Arabidopsis thaliana: one gene and its partners. The protein of the gene in region 3 purifies or fractionates together with the protein of the main gene of each other region. This does not show direct contact. Each region holds a gene or a part of one and is shown on either strand. Other genes may lie near its edges. The genes, in order: AT5G12940, AT3G20820 and AT3G04590.

Region 1 (5,739 bases), on a different chromosome or scaffold from region 3:
ACATTTTAGCAACGTTGTAGTGAGAAAACGTAAATACTATGTTGTTGTGCCTTATTGGATTGCTACAAAGGCAGTAACCTTGTTCAGTTGATAAGCTATGTAGAATATACTGTATAGGACTAAGGTTTTGTGTGTCAATGCATATGTATATAACTCAACTCTAGTTGGTGTCGAAGAATTGATTTTATTTAAACTCATACTAATAGTTCAAAAGTATGTCAAAAGTATATCTTTATCCATTCCAATGCTTCGAGTTGGTGAGACTAATCTTGCTAAGAAACTTATTGCACATATATAGTGGAAGGGGGATTAGTTAGTAAGACCAAGACCGAGCAAGTCTCTAATTGTAAGACCATATATATATATATTTTTTATCTTTTCAACGATATGGTAGTTAAATACATTTACCCTACAATAATTGGAATACTTAATAGTTAATCGATGAGTTTTATGAAATTATTGTAGAACATAGAAAGCTCATACAAGAATACTTTGAGAGAAAGTCTTCCTCAACACTTAAGAAACAGGCTTTTGTAAGCATATGTCAATACGTTTGTCTAAAACCAGTTACGTTGAAACAATTATTACTAGAAATTTTACAATCAGCATGGACCATTAATATTTTTAACTAATAGGATGCTTCAAAGCATACTTTGCACACAAACTTGTTATGGAATTCTCTCATGTACGGTATTCCTGTTAATAATAAAAGTGACTTAGAAGCATCACATACTTGTTGTGCAATTCTCTCCCGCACGGTATTCACGTGTTCTTTGTGTCGTATCTTGTTGTTCTTCTAAAAAAACTATGTCTACTATATAGTTGTGATGATCTTTACCGGGCAAGCTAGCCATTATTACTTATAACAGAATCTAGATCAATATACCATTAATGAATAAATTTATGTAATCTAGCTAGTAGTGACTATTGTGTTTTGTGCTATAGAGTAATCTATCAGAAACTTTGTCAATATTCTTACTTTATCTTTGAAATATGAAATGTGTGTTCAATAACGGATCAAAGAGATCATCACAAAGAAAATGTAGTTTGACTAATTCCATCGCAAAATTTATAGTTCATTGCACATCCTTTGGAGGCTATGATCAGCAACGCGGTCATCACAGAATTGCTTAAAGGTGTGAGATATTTTTACGTCAATATTGATTTACGACTAATTAAAACTCAGTTGAAAAACTTGTGGAGTTATGGCAATATTTATATCTTCCGTTCTTCCAAAAGACGACTACTTATGCATGGTGCACCACCGACATTGGATACAAGCCCACCAAACCAATTTGGCCTATACGGTCCACTTAAATATGTTTTGTTAAGTAGACCACCTAATTGGACATATAGACCTGGCGTCACAAAGAAAATGGACATAGACACAAATTCTGGTTTAACATTACAACAGAAAAATGTACTAACTGAAATTTGAATGAAACCAATCTCTAAGTGAAACACACCAAAACAAGAGATACAAGAAAAAAACGTATCTTAAAAGTGTTACACACTTACACTTCTAACCAAACTGTTTTGAATTGTATGTAAGGAGACGAATTTAATATGCATACCATAGTCCATATTTGTAAAGTCTAGTCAGAACAAATGGTTGAATGTATCCCGGGCTTTACTGATCTCACAAGCGTGGTCGGTCCACATTTCTAAACTCGTATTTGAAAAGTTTATCCTATTAGCTCATTTCATTTGGTTCGAGGTGTCTCATTGATGATAGTTTGAGAATCAATCAAGACAGATAAACAAGAAGACTTAAACACCAGATAAAAATATTGCTTATAGTTACATTGATAACGTGAAAATTATAGTAATAATATTCATAATCAAACTATATAATGATTCCCTCAAATCTTTAAACAATAATTTAATTAATTATTTCTTACAATTCCCAAGAGGCTTTCCACAAAGACAAGCATTGTAAGCAAACGACGTCGCGTCAAGATGATCAAACGGAGATCCCATCGGAATCTTCCCACACAAATGGTTATGGCTCACGTCAAGGTGACCAATAAACGACGCCGCCGTGATACTCGCCGGAATCGGTCCCTGAAGACGATTGTTCGCAAGATCCAGCACCGTGAAGTACGATCTCGGTCCAAACGTGTTAGGTATACTTCCGGTTATAAGATTCCCGCTCAGATTCAAATTCGAGATCGATGATGCCAATAGACTCCCCGGAATCATACCGGAGATCAAGTTCCCATCGAGATTGAGAGTCGCGAGCACCGACATTTTACCGAACGAAGCCGGAATCGGACCGGTGAGTCGGTTCATCGAGAGCTCAAGATCCGCGAGCCGGTATATCCGGGTCAGAGAATCGGGTATTTGACCCGAGATTTTGTTACCGCTTAAAAGGACACGACTCACCATCTTTAAACGACCAATATCTCGCGGTATGACTCCCGAGATATTGTTATTCCTGAGATCCAAATGCGATAAACTCACTAATCTCGTGATCGACGGAGGAATCACACCGTATAAGTGATTATCAGCTAGATTCAACACTTTAAGCCTCAGTAACTTCCCGATATTCGCCGGAATCACGCCGGAGAATTTATTTCCGACGAGATCTAAATGTCTCAAGAAAGGGAGATTCTCAATGCAACTAGGAATCACACCGGAGATTCCCTTCCAATCAGCGATGATGATACCGGAGAGACGAGTGAGCTTACATATAGAGGGCGAAATGGAGCCGGTCATTAGTCCGCTCCGTTTCGCCTTTTGGAAAAGCGGGTCTTCGGATTCACCTCGGAGTGTAATGCCGGCGACTCGACGGGTGTTGGGATCGCAGCTCACACCATACCAGCCTTTGCAACAGTCTAGACCTTTCCATGTGTTGAAAACTCCAATGTAGGGCTCGTTGAGCTTTGCTCGGAACTCTAGAAGCGCCGCTCGGTCGGACGGTAAGCAAGAATGGACAGTCGTGGAGAGAAGCAAGAAGACGACGACGTTAGTCAATAGGATCACTAACGATTTCTTAGTATCCATAGTGTAGAGAATCTTTTGTGTGATGTGTTTTTTTTTTAGCTTTACATAGGTTGAAGCACGTTGACATGGAAGTGTGACTTAACTATATGGTTTTATTTATAGTCACATATTGATGGGAGTAAAGACGACGAAATACTTCTTTTTGTTGCTTCGTTGAACCTTCTCATTTTTTGCCACGTCGTCACATACTTTGCATGCTCATTTGTTTCATTATTATCAGACTTTTCTTTGTGTGTGGTCAAGATTGGATCATTATGATTCATTACAAATAACATGGTTTTGTTTGTCTCGGTCGCCTGGTTGTACTATCTATGTCACAACTCAGAAGGCCTGAGCATGTTCTTGGTTCGACTCTCCCGAGTCTCTCCATACGTACTGGAATATAAGAATTACAGATTTGGCTATATGAGACCATAATATTTGAAAAATGAGATTAAAGTAACAATCGTGGCAAGACATATATTAGTATTAGTTCTTTTTTCTTGTCTACATTGAATTTTTTGGACATAATAATGAGGGACAACATTCAAGTGGCTTAAGCTACAGCAATTAGTATTATCCTAGCTAGTTTCATATCTTGTCCATAATACTGTACTTTTTGACTAGACTAGTTCCTACTAGTTTTTATTTATGTATAGATGCATGATTTATTAATATACTGTCAAATTCATTGATCTTATCGTTGTAGATGAGCATGTGATCTTTGTCCTTGGTAGCAATTTGTACATAAATAATATGAACCCCCATGTAAAGATGTTTATTTTTTCGACCTTCTTGTTCAACCTTCGAGTCAATGAATAATAAAAAAATTGTTTTGTTAATTTTTTCTACAGTATGACACAATCCTAATCATTGTTTGCAAATTGCCTCCATGAACCATAATTTACCTTTGATTGGCATTTTCTGCTACGGTTTTGATTATTATGTGCTTGTTTTCGTTGCTGTCTAGTGACATAAAATCTGACGAGCAACGACTCAAATTTTTTATTTTTTTTTGATAAAGAACAACGACTCAAATATGTAAGGTTTTATTTTGTCTTGTTCATTTTATCGTCCATAGACCAGCGGAAGATTAAACTGTTCGTTTGTTTTCGTCAAACAGAAACGCTAATAGATTCAACCTTTAGTGAAATTATGTTTGTAGACGTTGAAAATCAACTTCTTAATTCAACAACGTAGTTTAGCGTATTTAGTTATTTCCCTTGAGATATATCTTAAAATTCATGGTCGGCCCTAAAAACAGGACAGGTTTGGAGACAGCAGCTAGAGTAAACGTGATTCGGAGATTTAGTAGTTGTTATAATTGTATCAAGAGATTTAGAAGGAAGTGTCAAGTCAGAAGGGTGACATTAATGGCTTTGATTATTCAAAAGACAACTCATGTGCCCGCGCATGTGCTTGACGTTCGTTTGCCGTGTATTAGAACTTTAAAAACTGATTCATATAAATCATCGGTCGATTGAAATATATTAACATGGATTATGATGACAACAATCATTATACAATTAAGTTTTATGAAATGATCATCCACAAAACATAACTTTTGTCGGCTATTTTTTTGTTGACGTGACAAACTAAATTAGTAAACTGTGTTTTGAGTGCAAAAAGATGAGAAATTTGTGGGATTGATTGCATAGAATAACACTTACAAAAATGTAGGTAGTATGCAGGGGAGTCAACAACAGACGACTTTTCATAATTCAGAAAACGAAGAAAAACAAAAAGAAAGGTCGATTTCCCAAGGACTAGGGCATAGCACGTGTCTATATCACTGGAGGATATATCACTTAGACCGTTAGACGTCACGTGTAATCGTGTATTAATGCTTGCAAAATGTGGTTCAATCAAATACCCAATTAAGGGTTATGAGAACTAATACAAAAATGTGGTTCCCGTAAATAATGCATGAGCAAGCACATGACTGACATGAGAGATAGACCAGCGAATAAAGGTTAAGTATTGACGCACCATGCAAAGCGTAACGGTGAACTGGAGCTCTACTGGCTGAGATAATTCACAAGGTGAAGGTGAGATATATTTTAGGAGAGCCAGAAAGGTAGAACCCAAGACAAATAAAGAGAGAGACCAAGTGAGTTTTGGACTAATGTTTTTCAAAGAATGTGTCTATAACTATTTATTAAGTTCCAAAAAAAGACAAATAAAAGTATGATTTTTCTATATAGGACTACTCGATTAATCTTAACAAAAAGACGAATAAGCAGAAAACATATATGTTTGTTTTTTCAAAACAATAACCTTGGAAATCAAAACACCAGAAAAATGTGGCTGTGAAGAAAAGTACAAGAGAGACAGTAAAAAGAAAATGAACCAAAAAGGCAAAAAAATGAATACGTGGCTTCAATGTAGACCCAGACGATGAACGTCGCATCACCTTCCTTACGGGGGAAATCTCACATTTTGAAATTACAGAAAACTCCAAAGAACCCAAAATTGAATATTGAATATTGAAAATTGAAAAAATCTCTCTTTGAAGAATTGAAATCTCTCTTTGAAGACGAACGAACCTCGTTGATTCCTCCATTCCTCTTCGGCTCGTCCATGAATGAACCCGGTTCGGATCCGGATCCCGGGTCTTACCCAATTCCGCATGCTTCAGTCCATCTCGCCCCTTTCTTCTCTCCGTATACTCGTCGCCTCTCTACTCACTTTACCCGTCGTTGCCAGCCTCTACAATCGTCTCCCCCGCTAGCTTACATCTCTCTCCAGGGTTTA
Region 2 (5,801 bases), 6.0 Mb from region 3:
AGGTCCTTAACAATGAGTCTCTCGGTTAGCTTCTGGTGGAGCAATGAAGCAGAATCTTCTAGCTCGTAGCGAATGGATTTATTTTTAATCTCTGTTTCAGGTTCTAAGTTCACGTTGTGTCTTTATGTAAGAAGAAACTATGTAGAGAAGAAAACAACTGCTCCGAGCATGAAGATGTTTGTTTGGTTTACGTCTATGTTGTAAAAGACAATTGAGAGCTCTTGGTACAGACATTTTTTAGGTATTGGTAATGTTTGTCTTTGTTTCAAGTAAGAAATGGTTTAATCAAAATCTAATCTTCAATTAGTATCTTCCTTTTAGTTGGCTTATGTCATTGTAATTGCACTTATCTTGTTGATATCATTCATTTTATATATAACTTGCGACCTAACCAATGCTTTGGAGTTCGTGGGTGATTAATATACTCATGCCAAAACCAATAATTAATTTCTTGACACGTAATACCCGCAGCAACTGAGCTGTCGCATGACAAGCCAAAAAACCATCAAGTTTAAAGAAACAAAATCCACCAAGATGAGATTTTTAACTCGCAAAGATTTTTGTTCTTTGGGATGTAACATTAAATAGTAGACGACAGATTTTATGCGAAATACAAAAACTTTGAGAAAATAGTTTTAAAAAAGACATATTGTACCCCTCCAGGTAAAAAAGATCTAGTCCAACACCTATAAACTTTGAAAACTCTACTAGCATTAAACTTTGGACATTACTATGTCTCGCATAATCGCCTTTAGGAATGCTAAGGACAAAAACATGTTTTACAGTTATTGTCTGTGAGCAGTAGTTTCATGTGGCTGCCGTTTATTACGAAACCGTCGGTGCTGAATTAGAGACACGGACGGTGAAAAATCATAAACGGTAAATGCTTTTACAACCATTTATCTATATGCTTTGAAGCCCAATCTTAGCCCAAGCCATGATACTAGAAGCCGAATCAAAAGCTAATATAGGGCTTGATTGGTTCTCCCTCTGCCACCCGCAAACGCAGCGTTTGCGGGTGGTAGCGGTTATTAGCGGTTGGCACCAATCATAGAAACCGCTAGATACCGCTTTGGACCGCTTGAAATCACCAGATTTCAAAAGCTCCTTCCCGCAAGCGTTTGCGGTTGCGGGCGGTAGCGGTTAGGTTAAAAAAAAATTAATTAATTAATTAAAATAATTATGTCTTCCACCCAAACCTTATACTTATTCTTATCAGAAAACCCTAATCAATGAAACCCTATTCTCTCAATTATGGCATCCACCCAAACTGACAAAAATCAAAGTCAAAATCAAGAATCAAACGTAAGTATGATCTATCCTTTCATCCATTCATTAGCTAGTGTAATTCTCGGAATATTTCATGGCATCGTTGTTTTTTTTTATTTTGTTTTTTTTTGAGTTTTTTGATTGAATACATGTTTTGATTTGTTTTCTCGATTAGAAAATCATTTGGTCAAACGAGACCACATTTGCGTTACTTCAACGGGTTATTGTGGAGAAATAAACGGAAGAATCCAAAGACCCCAAAATCAGATTTCTAAGTGATGTTCAAAAAGAAAATATTCTTAAGAATATTAACGTTTGGAAAAAATTTGAGTTGGAGATGTGTTAAAAATCGTTTGGATATCTTGAAGAAACTTTATCATATGTATAGAGGCAATCCGGAAAACCCGCGAGTTCAACGTTATTTACAGTTTATCACACTACTTGATGCAATTTTTGGTGATGTACCAAATGCATAAAGTATTAAACTTTTTCTTACAAAATTTATTTATTTTTGAATTTTTAGTTTTATTTATGGTTTTAATTATTAAGTATGTTTAATTTTTCAAATATTATCAATTTATCATAATAATATATTGTATTTTTTTTCTTTTAATAGTAATATATTATATTTATTTTGGTTATTTTTTATTTAATTACTATCGCACCCGCTGGTTTACCAGTCATAAAACTCCCGCAAACGCACTCATTACCAAACGCTCAACCAGTCGTTCAAAACACTTGATAACGTTTGAAACCGCAACCGCCCGTTTCCGCAAATTCCCGCAACCGCAATCGTACCCGCTGCGTTTAAACCAGGCCCATAGTCAACATAAGTTACGGAACCACAACTATTTGCGACTCGAAGATGTGTATCGTCATCTCATAACATGATTAGAAAAAGGATTAAAATGCAAGAACATAACCACGTGGCGTCATGTTGACCCTGTGATATGATTGTAGTAAGCAACAAGCTTATCCAACCGGCAAGTCGCATCGGAAAATCTAATCGTAGCTTCAATTATTTGCATGGGAACTCTCCCCCACTTTCAGTTCCTGTCTCTATCTTAATTTGTCTGCAACCTTTTCTATTACCATCTAATGAATGTGCTCAACACTATAAATCCATGTGTATGTTTCTTCATTTTTGTGGCCATATTATTGCTACAACTAGTTATTACAAACCACACAATCACATGTTACTCAAACAACAAACCCACATGTTAAAAGTTATTACCAATTTCTTACGTTCTCGTTTTTTTGTGTTTAAGATATCTAACATGAATTTGACATTTGTTGTTGACTAATTTGATGTAGAATTTCTTGATTAATCAAGATTACACGAACACAAGCTTCATTATTGAACGAGGCCAAAGTGTCTAATCTTACCCATATCGAATTATTATTTTAACAATTTCACGTAAAAAAAAAAATAAAGCAAAGTATTGTCCTTTTTTTATTAATATATTTTTAAAAATTCCCTCTTTTATTTAATATCCTCTATTTATATGCCATTAACGTCTATCTTCTTCCCTCACCCATCAAGTCCCAATTCCCAACACTGTCACTCAAAAAGAATCTTCAAACAATGAATCTCAACGTCGTCGTTTTACTCCTACTCCTTCTAATCTCATCCGCCACGTGTTGTCCGCCGTCAGACCGCCGTGCACTTCTAGCTTTCCGATCAGCTCTTCACGAGCCTTACCTCGGCATTTTCAACTCATGGACAGGCCAAGACTGTTGCCACAACTGGTACGGTATTAGCTGCGACTCGCTCACTCACCGAGTCGCCGACATAAATCTCCGCGGCGAGTCAGAAGATCCAATCTTCGAACGAGCTCACCGAACCGGTTACATGACCGGACACATCTCCGCCTCGATATGTGAGCTCACTCGTCTCTCCGCCATTACAATCGCCGATTGGAAAGGTATCTCCGGCGAAATCCCTAAATGTATCACTCGTCTTCCTTTTCTCCGTACACTCGACTTAATCGGAAACCAAATCTCCGGTGGGATTCCATACGACATCGGAAGATTAAACCGGTTAGCTGTTTTAAACGTAGCCGATAACCGAATCTCCGGTTCAATTCCAAAATCATTAACCAATCTCTCTAGCTTAATGCATTTAGATCTCCGTAACAACTTAATCTCCGGTGTAATCCCGTCGGACGTCGGAAGATTAAAAATGCTCAGCCGTGCGTTATTATCCGGTAACCGAATAACCGGTCGGATCCCAGAATCATTAACCAATATCTACCGGTTAGCTGACGTGGATCTCTCCGGTAACCAACTCTACGGTACAATCCCACCGTCTCTAGGACGTATGTCGGTACTAGCCACACTTAACCTCGACGGAAACAAAATCTCCGGCGAGATACCTCAAACTCTGATGACGTCGTCGGTGATGAATCTGAATTTGAGCCGGAACTTGCTACAAGGGAAGATACCTGAAGGGTTTGGACCAAGGTCTTACTTCACAGTTCTTGATTTGTCGTATAATAATCTGAAAGGACCAATACCGAGATCGATCTCAGGTGCGTCGTTTATTGGTCATTTGGATCTTAGCCATAACCATCTCTGTGGGAGGATTCCGGTAGGTTCACCGTTTGATCATCTTGAAGCGGCGTCGTTTATGTTTAACGACTGTCTTTGTGGTAAACCTTTAAGAGCTTGCTTGAAAAATTGATTTTTATATGTAATTTGAGTTTTTTCATTAGAGACATTATTATATTTATGGTTATGCATTTTATAAAAAAAAGATTTAAAATTGTATGCTACGTTTAGTTGAATTATGGGATGATTAACAAAATATATAAACTTCCAGTTTCATTCGTCACACGATTGCTATCATTTTTAATTCAATTGTTTGGTTTTTTGTAATATGTTATATGTGTACGTATACGATTACTATAAACTGTTTTATAGACGATTAAATTTTCTCTATAACACACGAACATATTTGATAATCAATTATGTTTACTGTGACAAGAGTCAATATTGGGAATATATCCGAACATAGGATATACATGGAAATACCTACGGATATGTTCGTATTTAATGTATCGAGTAAACTATTTTTTGTTTTTTCTTACATATTTTATACGATATACATATAACTATAGACTAGGAATGCATTTAGTTGGGTTTGTTTAAGAACATTTATTCTAGAGCCAAATACACATAATATGGAAAAATTCAAATCACAATCACATGAAGAAGAATTAAATGAAACATTAAAAAGAAAGCGTTGTGGGGGTAATAAATAAATGGGCAGAGGCATTGCATGTGAGACTCTGTAAAGCATTTTGCGGTGAGTGTTAACCTCAGGACCTGTCGCTGCTTCACTACATGGGTCTACTCTTTATGTCACTGCATTCATTGCTTATGTCTCTAATTACACACATTTATATACTTGCTTACAAAACGTTTTGGGCTCATACAGCTTTAGAGTCCAAACTAATTGGGCCTACGTACGTTGGTCCCTATAGATTTTTATGGTTTAGAGTCCATCACAAATCTTGTTTTCATACTTTGTGGTATGTAAAGTTGAGATTCAAACAAACCATTTGTACAACGTATAAATTATGTATTAAGTTTGAACCTATTTGATTATATATTCCGATAAATAATCTGCCATACATCATCAAAACAAAATGATTTTTTTTTTAACATGAACTAAAGAAGAAGAAGAAAGTTGTACAAGTTCTTTAACTCTCTCCCTGCCTTCTGTTGCTTATGGAATAAGGTTGGTCGAACACAACATGTGATCACCTTCCTAATATCCAAATCTTCTTTTGTCCTATTAATTATTTATTTTTTCCAATATTTATCTTGATGGATTTTAGTATAAAATACCCATTGTCAATTTTGAGAAATGCCAAACTATAATTATAGGTTTTGTCCACTTTCTTTTTTTATTTTTTATTCCTCCTTTTTGTATTTGTCTTAATCAGTACTACTCGAAATACACTTTGTTCACTACTTGTAAAAACTCTTAACATACTTGAATAGGATCTGTTTTCTATAATTAACAGAAACATTACAAAGAACCAAATGCATAATGGTATGCAAGAAAACAAACCATATGAGTCATTGTTTAAATTGACTCTCCTTGTACAGTGAAACTTCTAGCTAATTACTTTTTTTGGTGACTGAACCAAGCTAAATCTAATGGAACAAGTGTTATTCAAAATAAATAAATTGATAGCTACTAACAAGAGCGTTGAGAACGTTACAATTAATATGTTAAATAATCAGATTTTAAATTTTGTGCAATCTCCAAAACTTTTCTGCTAACACTTTACATGGATCTTTGTTTTTCTTTGATCAAAGATCGTTTGTGAAATGACTTTCTAAGGCATTTTCGGTGTGACTTTCAAACGTATGTATTGTAAATAAAAAGGACATGTACGTATTTTCAAACACTATAAATCATTTGTAAATGTATGCTTTGCAAGTTTTGGGCGGAACACCTACATAAAAGTTAATTTTTCATTTTCAAAGCCAAACACCTATCTTTTTAGCTTGTAGGTGTA
Region 3 (6,965 bases):
CACTCGGAAGTACCAAAACCATTATAGCATAAGGAGTATCCACAAACTCGGGAGTGCCTCCTTTGAAATTCAATCCGTGAAGCATCGGCATCCGAATTGCAGCAACCGGTCCAAACTCTTCCGAACCGCCACAACCACTGCTCTCAACCGCAAGAACAGAGTTTTTCCTCAAAATTGTCACTACTTTGGTCTCCCTAACCTGAACAACATCGGGATCATTAATCGGGATTACCCTGAAACTCCTCATCGGATTCGCTCTAAGCTCATGAGTCAAATGCATCTCGGTTCTGTTCTCGTTAGGCATCCAAACAGCAGAGTTCTGTAAATCAAGAATCTTGGATAGCTCAACGAGAGTAGTCCGCAGAATCATATGCTTATCGAGCGATTTCCTGATCTCCCGAGTAAGCATTCTCACCTGCACACTCATTTCCTTCTGCCTCTTCATCAATCCAACCTCTTCATTAAGCTCCAACACATTCTGCTTCAAGTAAAGCTCTCTAACTTTCCATTTCAACAGCAACGGAATCAAAGTCAAGAGCGTGATAGCCGTGGCACACGAGACAAGCGCCGTGAGGAATTTAAAGATGGTAAGCCAAAGCATAAGCTGGAAAGAGTGTGGTCCGTAATACGTCCAAGCGTTAAGCAAATGAGTCATTCCACATAGGACAATAAAGGCAATGAATTGAACAAGAACCCATTTGAAAGGAACATTGGAGAAGCTAATGAAGTAGAGAAGCTCGAGAGGTATTGAGAAATAGGCAATGGCTATTAAGAGATCACTCACTCTTTGACATTCTAAGATGGTGTGGACACTTAAGAAACCTTCGTCGTCACAATTACAGCTCACGTAATCGTTATCACCAGAAACCAGAGCAAGAAGAGCAAACAGAAGCAATCCAAGACCTAAAGATCTTAACATCTTCTGATCCAATCTTTAATCTCTCTATCTAAAACCCTAATCAAATCCAGCCACAATCTTGAGGCTCTCTACAAGTTGAGATCCAATGAACCAATTAAACATAACTGACTTGGTATTCATAGATTTCCACAACGCGTAGAGACCAATGAGATTAAACAACTCCAAACACGCATACCCAGAAGAAGGCAAAGGAATCAAGATCTATGTTCCTCGATATTCGTAGTACTGAGAAAAGAAACCGCCTTTGAGTTTTTTTTTTTTAAATTCCAGGGGAAGGTAATCAGAGAAAAACGAAAGCTAAGATTCAAGCCAATAGAATAGAGAAAGAACACACCTCTCGAATCTAGTAAGATAAATAAGAAAGACCCATCTCCATTTGTAGCAACGAAATCGAGTCAATCTGACATCTTTTTCACAGAAGTTGGAGAAACAGAAGAAGTGATTAGAAAAGAGAAGAAACCGAGTTGGTCCGGTGGTGGCAGATCTTTTCCGGGAGTTTCAGTTGCGGATTTTCAGACTTGAGTCAACAATATTCAAAGTTTTTTTAAGACAAAAGCAGCAGACTTTTCGCTTAAGCAATTTCCGGAGAGTTGCTCAAGTCCATAAAAATGGTGGTGTTTCACTTTAAGCTTAGATGTCAACAAAAAATTCCCATTAAAGATAAGAATTTTTAACAGTAATTTTTGGCTTCACATAAGTTATAGCATTCCAACATTATCAATCAAGAAATTTACAAGTTGACAACTTGACATAAAGTTACCAAGAATTTTAAACTAAATCAATATTAATATGAATAAATAAACAGAATTCTCAAATGAGTTTTTTTGTTCTTCGTCAAATGAGTTAATGTTTTGGTCCAAGTAACGGCTCATAGGAACCGTTTACTAAATTAAGATAGGTTATGAATAATTAACATAAGTAGAAACCGAACAAACGAAGTGTATATATTTCACAAAAAGAGCATTTCCTTTTTTAGTAACAAACGAAAGAAAAACCAAAAAAAATATTATAAGAAAAGAAAAAGAGTATAAAAAAAAGGAATGAAATTGAAAGTGAAGGAGAATCGTTACTGAAAGTATAAAAAAAAGGTTGTGGAGTTAATATAATACACCGTACCAAGAAGAAGAACAAAAGCAATCACTCAGCAACTTCTTTCTATGATTAAAGACCCTTCAGACGAGTCTCTGTCTAATAAGTCCTCTCTCAGTTCAGATTCTTTGCTCGCCTTCTGTTTCTCTACTTGGGATCTAAACTCTACACACTTCTCCTGGAAGCTCTGCTAATCCGGTATTTGCTGCTCGTAATCTCCATTCTCCGACGACTCATGTCCTATCCTTCCTGCACAAGATTACATCCATCAGCGTTTCAAGCCATTGCCACAACGGAGAAGAGCTTTAGCCTGTAATCTTCTAGAACTCTACAAAATACTAATTTCCACCAATCTCCATAGCAATTCTAATCTGTCCTTGTTTGGATTTAAGGGTTTGAACTTTGATGAAGAAAGATGACATCTTTCGAGAAGTTTTGAGCTTTTTTGTTACCTGACAAATCATACCCGCCACCGCCTCTGCCATCATGACCGCTGTTGCCTCCTCCGCGCCATTCAGATGGCCTGGAATGTGTCATGTGTATCCCCTGCGGCGCTTGCATCATGAAATGATGAGGTCCACCCAAACCGGCTTGATGATGATGATGATCATGTTGCTCGTCGTTTCCCCTCATTGGATTTCTTCCCGTAGATTCCATACCAGGAGGGAAACCCATGCCAAGCAACTGTCCAGAGCTTACAGGAGAAGTTAACCGACTTCCACTGTTTGAAGCATCCCCTTTCCCACCACTCCCGGCGGCATCCTTCTTTCTATCAAGCTGAAACGTACCAAGAATCACCTGCATTTGCACAAATCTAAGGCGATCAATCAAAGCCAGACCTCCTATCTTAGGAAATGATCAGTTTTGTGTAAGATGGTTGGAAACAATAACAATGTTTCAATATATGCAAGTTGAAACTATGATACAACAGAATTGTACCTGAACCGGGCCAGCAGCTGTGAGATGGCTACCAATCGCTCCACCGATGATCTGACCATCTGAAGCAGATAAAGAAACGCTAAGGCCGCCGGATTTACCACCTTGTTCAGTTCGGATATAGGATCCAGATAGTGAGAGAATCTCGTATTGACCCTGAATAAATTTTTTGAAATTTGAGGCAAGTTTAACAATGATATGCAAACTTCAAAGAAAGTATCTGAATTAAGAATCTCTTTGCTTTATCAACATGCTAACTGTATTGTGTATCAATTTTCCTCTATCACACAGAATAGAGAGAAAGGATCAGAAAGAAAAAACCCTCCTCTCCCCTTTGGAAAGAAACAACAAAGAAGCAAGCTGAGTACTATTTTACTGCAAGAGAAAATCACCTCATATGGTAAGTTGCCTCCTGATGGAGCCGGTTGGCGCAAGGATGCATTAGAGATAGTGCCTGATGCAGAAAGAACGCATAGTTCATGCTTGCTTTGGTTTGCGAACATCATAATTTTCTGGACCACATCCTGACAGTATCACAAAGAGAACACTTAGAATCATTAAGGATCCTCCTCGATTTGCATTAGTATCAATGAAACAAAAAGAGAAATAGAATGACTTAGAATTGAAAGAATGATAGATATTGTGCCTACACCAACAAATCTCTATTACAAGTAAGGATCTTGAGTGTACAAGAACATGACATACCTCGCCAGGAGCTATATTAACAATATGCGGAGTAAAACATTGTCCAGTTTTCCCTGCACCAACAAAAAACTTGTAGTAAAGCTCAGAGTATAACACAAATTCCAGAATATAACTAAAGGATCACTTGAAAGATACTCAATGGGATCTAAAAAAGAAACAAATTGATAAACTATACAAACAAGAATCTAACTACACAATCTTCAGTGTAATTAAGAAACTCAAGATGTAAATCTACTGCTGTAAATTATACATAATGCTAATTCAAGGCACTTACGTCTCAAATCACACCAACGAATTAACAGCTAAAGAATCAAAATTTAAGAATTGGGAGATTAATCATTGACCTTAAAGTTGGAAACTTTAGATATCAAATTGACCAACGATAAGATTCAAAAGAAGAAAAGATTAAACCCACCGACAGAACCAAGCTGAGATTTCTTGGATGACCCGGAATTAGTCGATACCGTACCACCGGTAACAGCAGCAAGCTCTCGCCTCTGTTTAGCAGACGAACTACTCGCAGAAGACGCCAATTTCTTAGCCGCTAGGGCTTGTTCCGGCGTCACATACTTTCTTGGTCGACCCCTCTTCCTCTTTACCGGCTCCATCGGCGCCGTCACAGCCGAGGACGGAACTGAATGAGGGTACACCGCGAGAGAAGATGACCCATCATTAGGCTGGTGCTGTGGCTGAGGCTGCGGAGGGAAAAGCCCATTGTTGGAAGATGGAACGGCGTTTCCGGTAGAAGCGGTGGTTGCTACGGTGGTTGGAAGGTGGTGATGGTGCTGTAGTTGGTGGTGGAAGTAAGGAGAAGTGAGTCGTTGCTGCTGCTGCTGTTGCTGTTGCTGTTGGTGGAGGTGATGGAGCTGTTGTTGTTGGTGGTGATGGTGGCTTTCGTTAGGATCCATTCCTTTTTAGAGAGATACGCACAAAAATAAGAATTTCTAGAGAGAGAGAGTTAGGGATTTTTTTTCATTTTTTCTTTTTGCATTTTTTTTTGTTTTCTTTTAGGGTTTTATTATTTTATACTTATATATTAATCGATAAGAAGGAAGATGATGAGATAGAATCTCAACCGTTAGATCTTCTAGATTTGACTTAAGATGTTTTTGACTTATGTGTGTTAAAGCATCTCTTCTTTTTACCCTTTTTTATCTGTTTTTATTTCTCGAGGAAACAGAAATTTAATTTTTTCAGAGGGAAACGAAAGATCACTCACTCACCTTCTCAGTTTTTCACTTTTCTCTAGTCATTTAGTACATGGTTGATTTAACATATCCTCCAATTTCAAAGAAACCATGATTTGAATGATTAAAAGAAAATGATAAAGTCAATGGGGGTGTAACAAAAAGATTGAACTCCTTTTTCAACTTTGCATTCGTCAACATTGGTATTCAACAAAGGCCTTTAATCACTAACCAATACCCCGGTTAGGCCACATATTCACTTTCTTCCTAAACAAGCAACAAAGCATCAAACAAAGGGGAAAAAAAGACTTTGTAACTGTTTGGAACTCAATGATCTGTTTTGGCTAGGAGATTGCATAAACGGATGGGATTTCAAGTACTGAAAAATGTAGCTAGCACAAAATGAACTCCATAAAAACTCAAAGGCCGGCCTTTTCAGATTTAATGCATCTTCAAGTCTTGTATTGACTAACCGAAGCATCCTTTAGAGATGAAAAGACCAATGAGAGAATCAAACGTCCCATCACTCACCACTCTTTTTTTTTTATCTCTTGACATATCTTGTTTAGTTATAAACATCATCAGAATTTTCTTCCATCACTAAACAACACTCCAAAAACTTCTCCCTTCTTCTTCTTTCTCAAATTCACAAAACATGATTTTCATATCTAAAATCTTTTAACACCTATTTTAGTGCATAAACTAATCAACTATTGGATTATGAAAATTTATGAAATTATGATAACATCTTATAGACTATGGAAAGATTATTAACGGATCAGAAAGAAAGACGAAGAAGATATTCAATAAACCGGACCGGTGCATTTAGATGATGAATGAACTTCTAGTGAAAAAGGCAATCATGGCGTCAAAGACTTTGATTAGTGATACAATTGAAAAAATTAACGAGAGGGGGATATTTGTTCTCTCTAAAAGTAAAGGGATAAATGACGATAATTGTTTTAATTTTGGGCCAGAGAGAAAGGGGTAATGTGTATATCTAAAACTTGACGGCAAAATTGACAAAAATAAAATATTCTGACTCCCAAATAGTAATAAATATATGACTTAAACCTCGTTTTGTTCTTCGTCAGTCTAAAGACTATCTCCAGTCGCAAAACCACCGCCGTATATCCACGGCCGTCTTATCACCGGCAACAACCGTAGGTACTTGGATATAACAATTTCATTCAGCTCTATTCAGCTTGTTTGCTAATAGGATTTTGAATCTGACTTCTGTTTTTGTATAGGTTTTTGTTTTCCGTCGCGATGGAGGTGGATAAGAAGGACGAGAGAGAGGCTGAATCTTCGGAGCAAGTGGTGAATCCATGGGAAGTGTCCGCCAAAGACGGCGGGAAGATCGATTACGACAAGCTTATTGACAAATTTGGATGTCAAAGGCTTGACGAGTCACTGATTGATCGTGTTCAGAGACTGACTTCTCGTCAACCACACGTGTTCCTCCGCCGTAGTGTCTTCTTCGCCCACCGGTTAGACATTCACTGTTTTAATTAATTGTGTAGAAATTTCTCGTCTTGCTTGTTTTAATTGTGAGGTTTTAACAGGGATTTCAATGAGATTTTGGACGCTTATGAGAGAGGAGACAAGTTCTATCTCTACACTGGAAGAGGACCTTCATCAGAAGCATTGCATTTGGGGCATTTGATTCCTTTCATGTTTACCAAGTAAGTGAGATCCTGGAGCTAGTATTGTCTTACCATGTTTACGGATTTGGTAGATTGTGCTTGCTCTTTATACTTGAAATGGTTTGCAGATACTTGCAAGAAGCTTTCAAGGTTCCCCTTGTTATACAGCTCACGGATGATGAAAAAAGTATATGGAAGAACTTATCGGTGGAGGAAAGTCAAAGACTTGCCAGAGAAAATGCGAAAGATATTATTGCTTGTGGATTCGATGTAACAAAGACCTTCATTTTCTCGGACTTCGACTATGTTGGCGGGTAAGTCGCATTCGAATCTTCTATGGAAATAACTAGCACCGCTCTTGCTTTGTAGAAAATATTGCTTGAAGAGCTCTTGGTAGTACATATAGTCTACATGCATGTAGCTCAATTTTTTATTTTTTTTTTGGCGAAGATTTGTAAGATCATATATTGTCCTTCGTTTTTT

What was found.
Region 1: the proteins of AT3G04590 (region 3) and AT5G12940 fractionate together in Arabidopsis thaliana (co-fractionation; one large-scale study listed by BioGRID). This does not show direct contact.
Region 2: the proteins of AT3G04590 (region 3) and AT3G20820 fractionate together in Arabidopsis thaliana (co-fractionation; one large-scale study listed by BioGRID). This does not show direct contact.

What each region holds. Positions count from the first base shown.
Region 1 is NC_003076.8:4,085,049-4,090,787, reverse strand, and holds AT5G12940 (Leucine-rich repeat (LRR) family protein), read right to left. Parts: upstream 3,100-5,739; 5' UTR 3,007-3,099; coding exon 1,891-3,006; 3' UTR 1,642-1,890; downstream 1-1,641. Other genes in the region: AT5G12930 (inactive rhomboid protein), read left to right, coding at 5,566-5,739.
Region 2 is NC_003074.8:7,278,076-7,283,876, forward strand, and holds AT3G20820 (Leucine-rich repeat (LRR) family protein), read left to right. Parts: upstream 1-2,716; 5' UTR 2,717-2,854; coding exon 2,855-3,952; 3' UTR 3,953-4,302; downstream 4,303-5,801. Other genes in the region: JMJD5 (2-oxoglutarate (2OG) and Fe(II)-dependent oxygenase superfamily protein), read left to right, coding at 1-69.
Region 3 is NC_003074.8:1,237,047-1,244,011, forward strand, and holds AT3G04590 (AT hook motif DNA-binding family protein), read right to left. Parts: upstream 4,759-6,965; 5' UTR 4,558-4,758; coding exon 4,065-4,557; intron 3,703-4,064; coding exon 3,650-3,702; intron 3,469-3,649; coding exon 3,337-3,468; intron 3,101-3,336; coding exon 2,948-3,100; intron 2,807-2,947; coding exon 2,461-2,806; intron 2,258-2,460; coding exon 2,199-2,257; 3' UTR 2,184-2,198; coding exon of another isoform or gene 2,167-2,183; 3' UTR 1,807-2,166; downstream 1-1,806. Other genes in the region: EIN4 (Signal transduction histidine kinase, hybrid-type, ethylene sensor), read right to left, coding at 1-919; AT3G04600 (Nucleotidylyl transferase superfamily protein), read left to right, coding at 6,106-6,326, 6,402-6,521, 6,611-6,796. UniProt on the Arabidopsis thaliana protein: Transcription factor that specifically binds AT-rich DNA sequences related to the nuclear matrix attachment regions (MARs).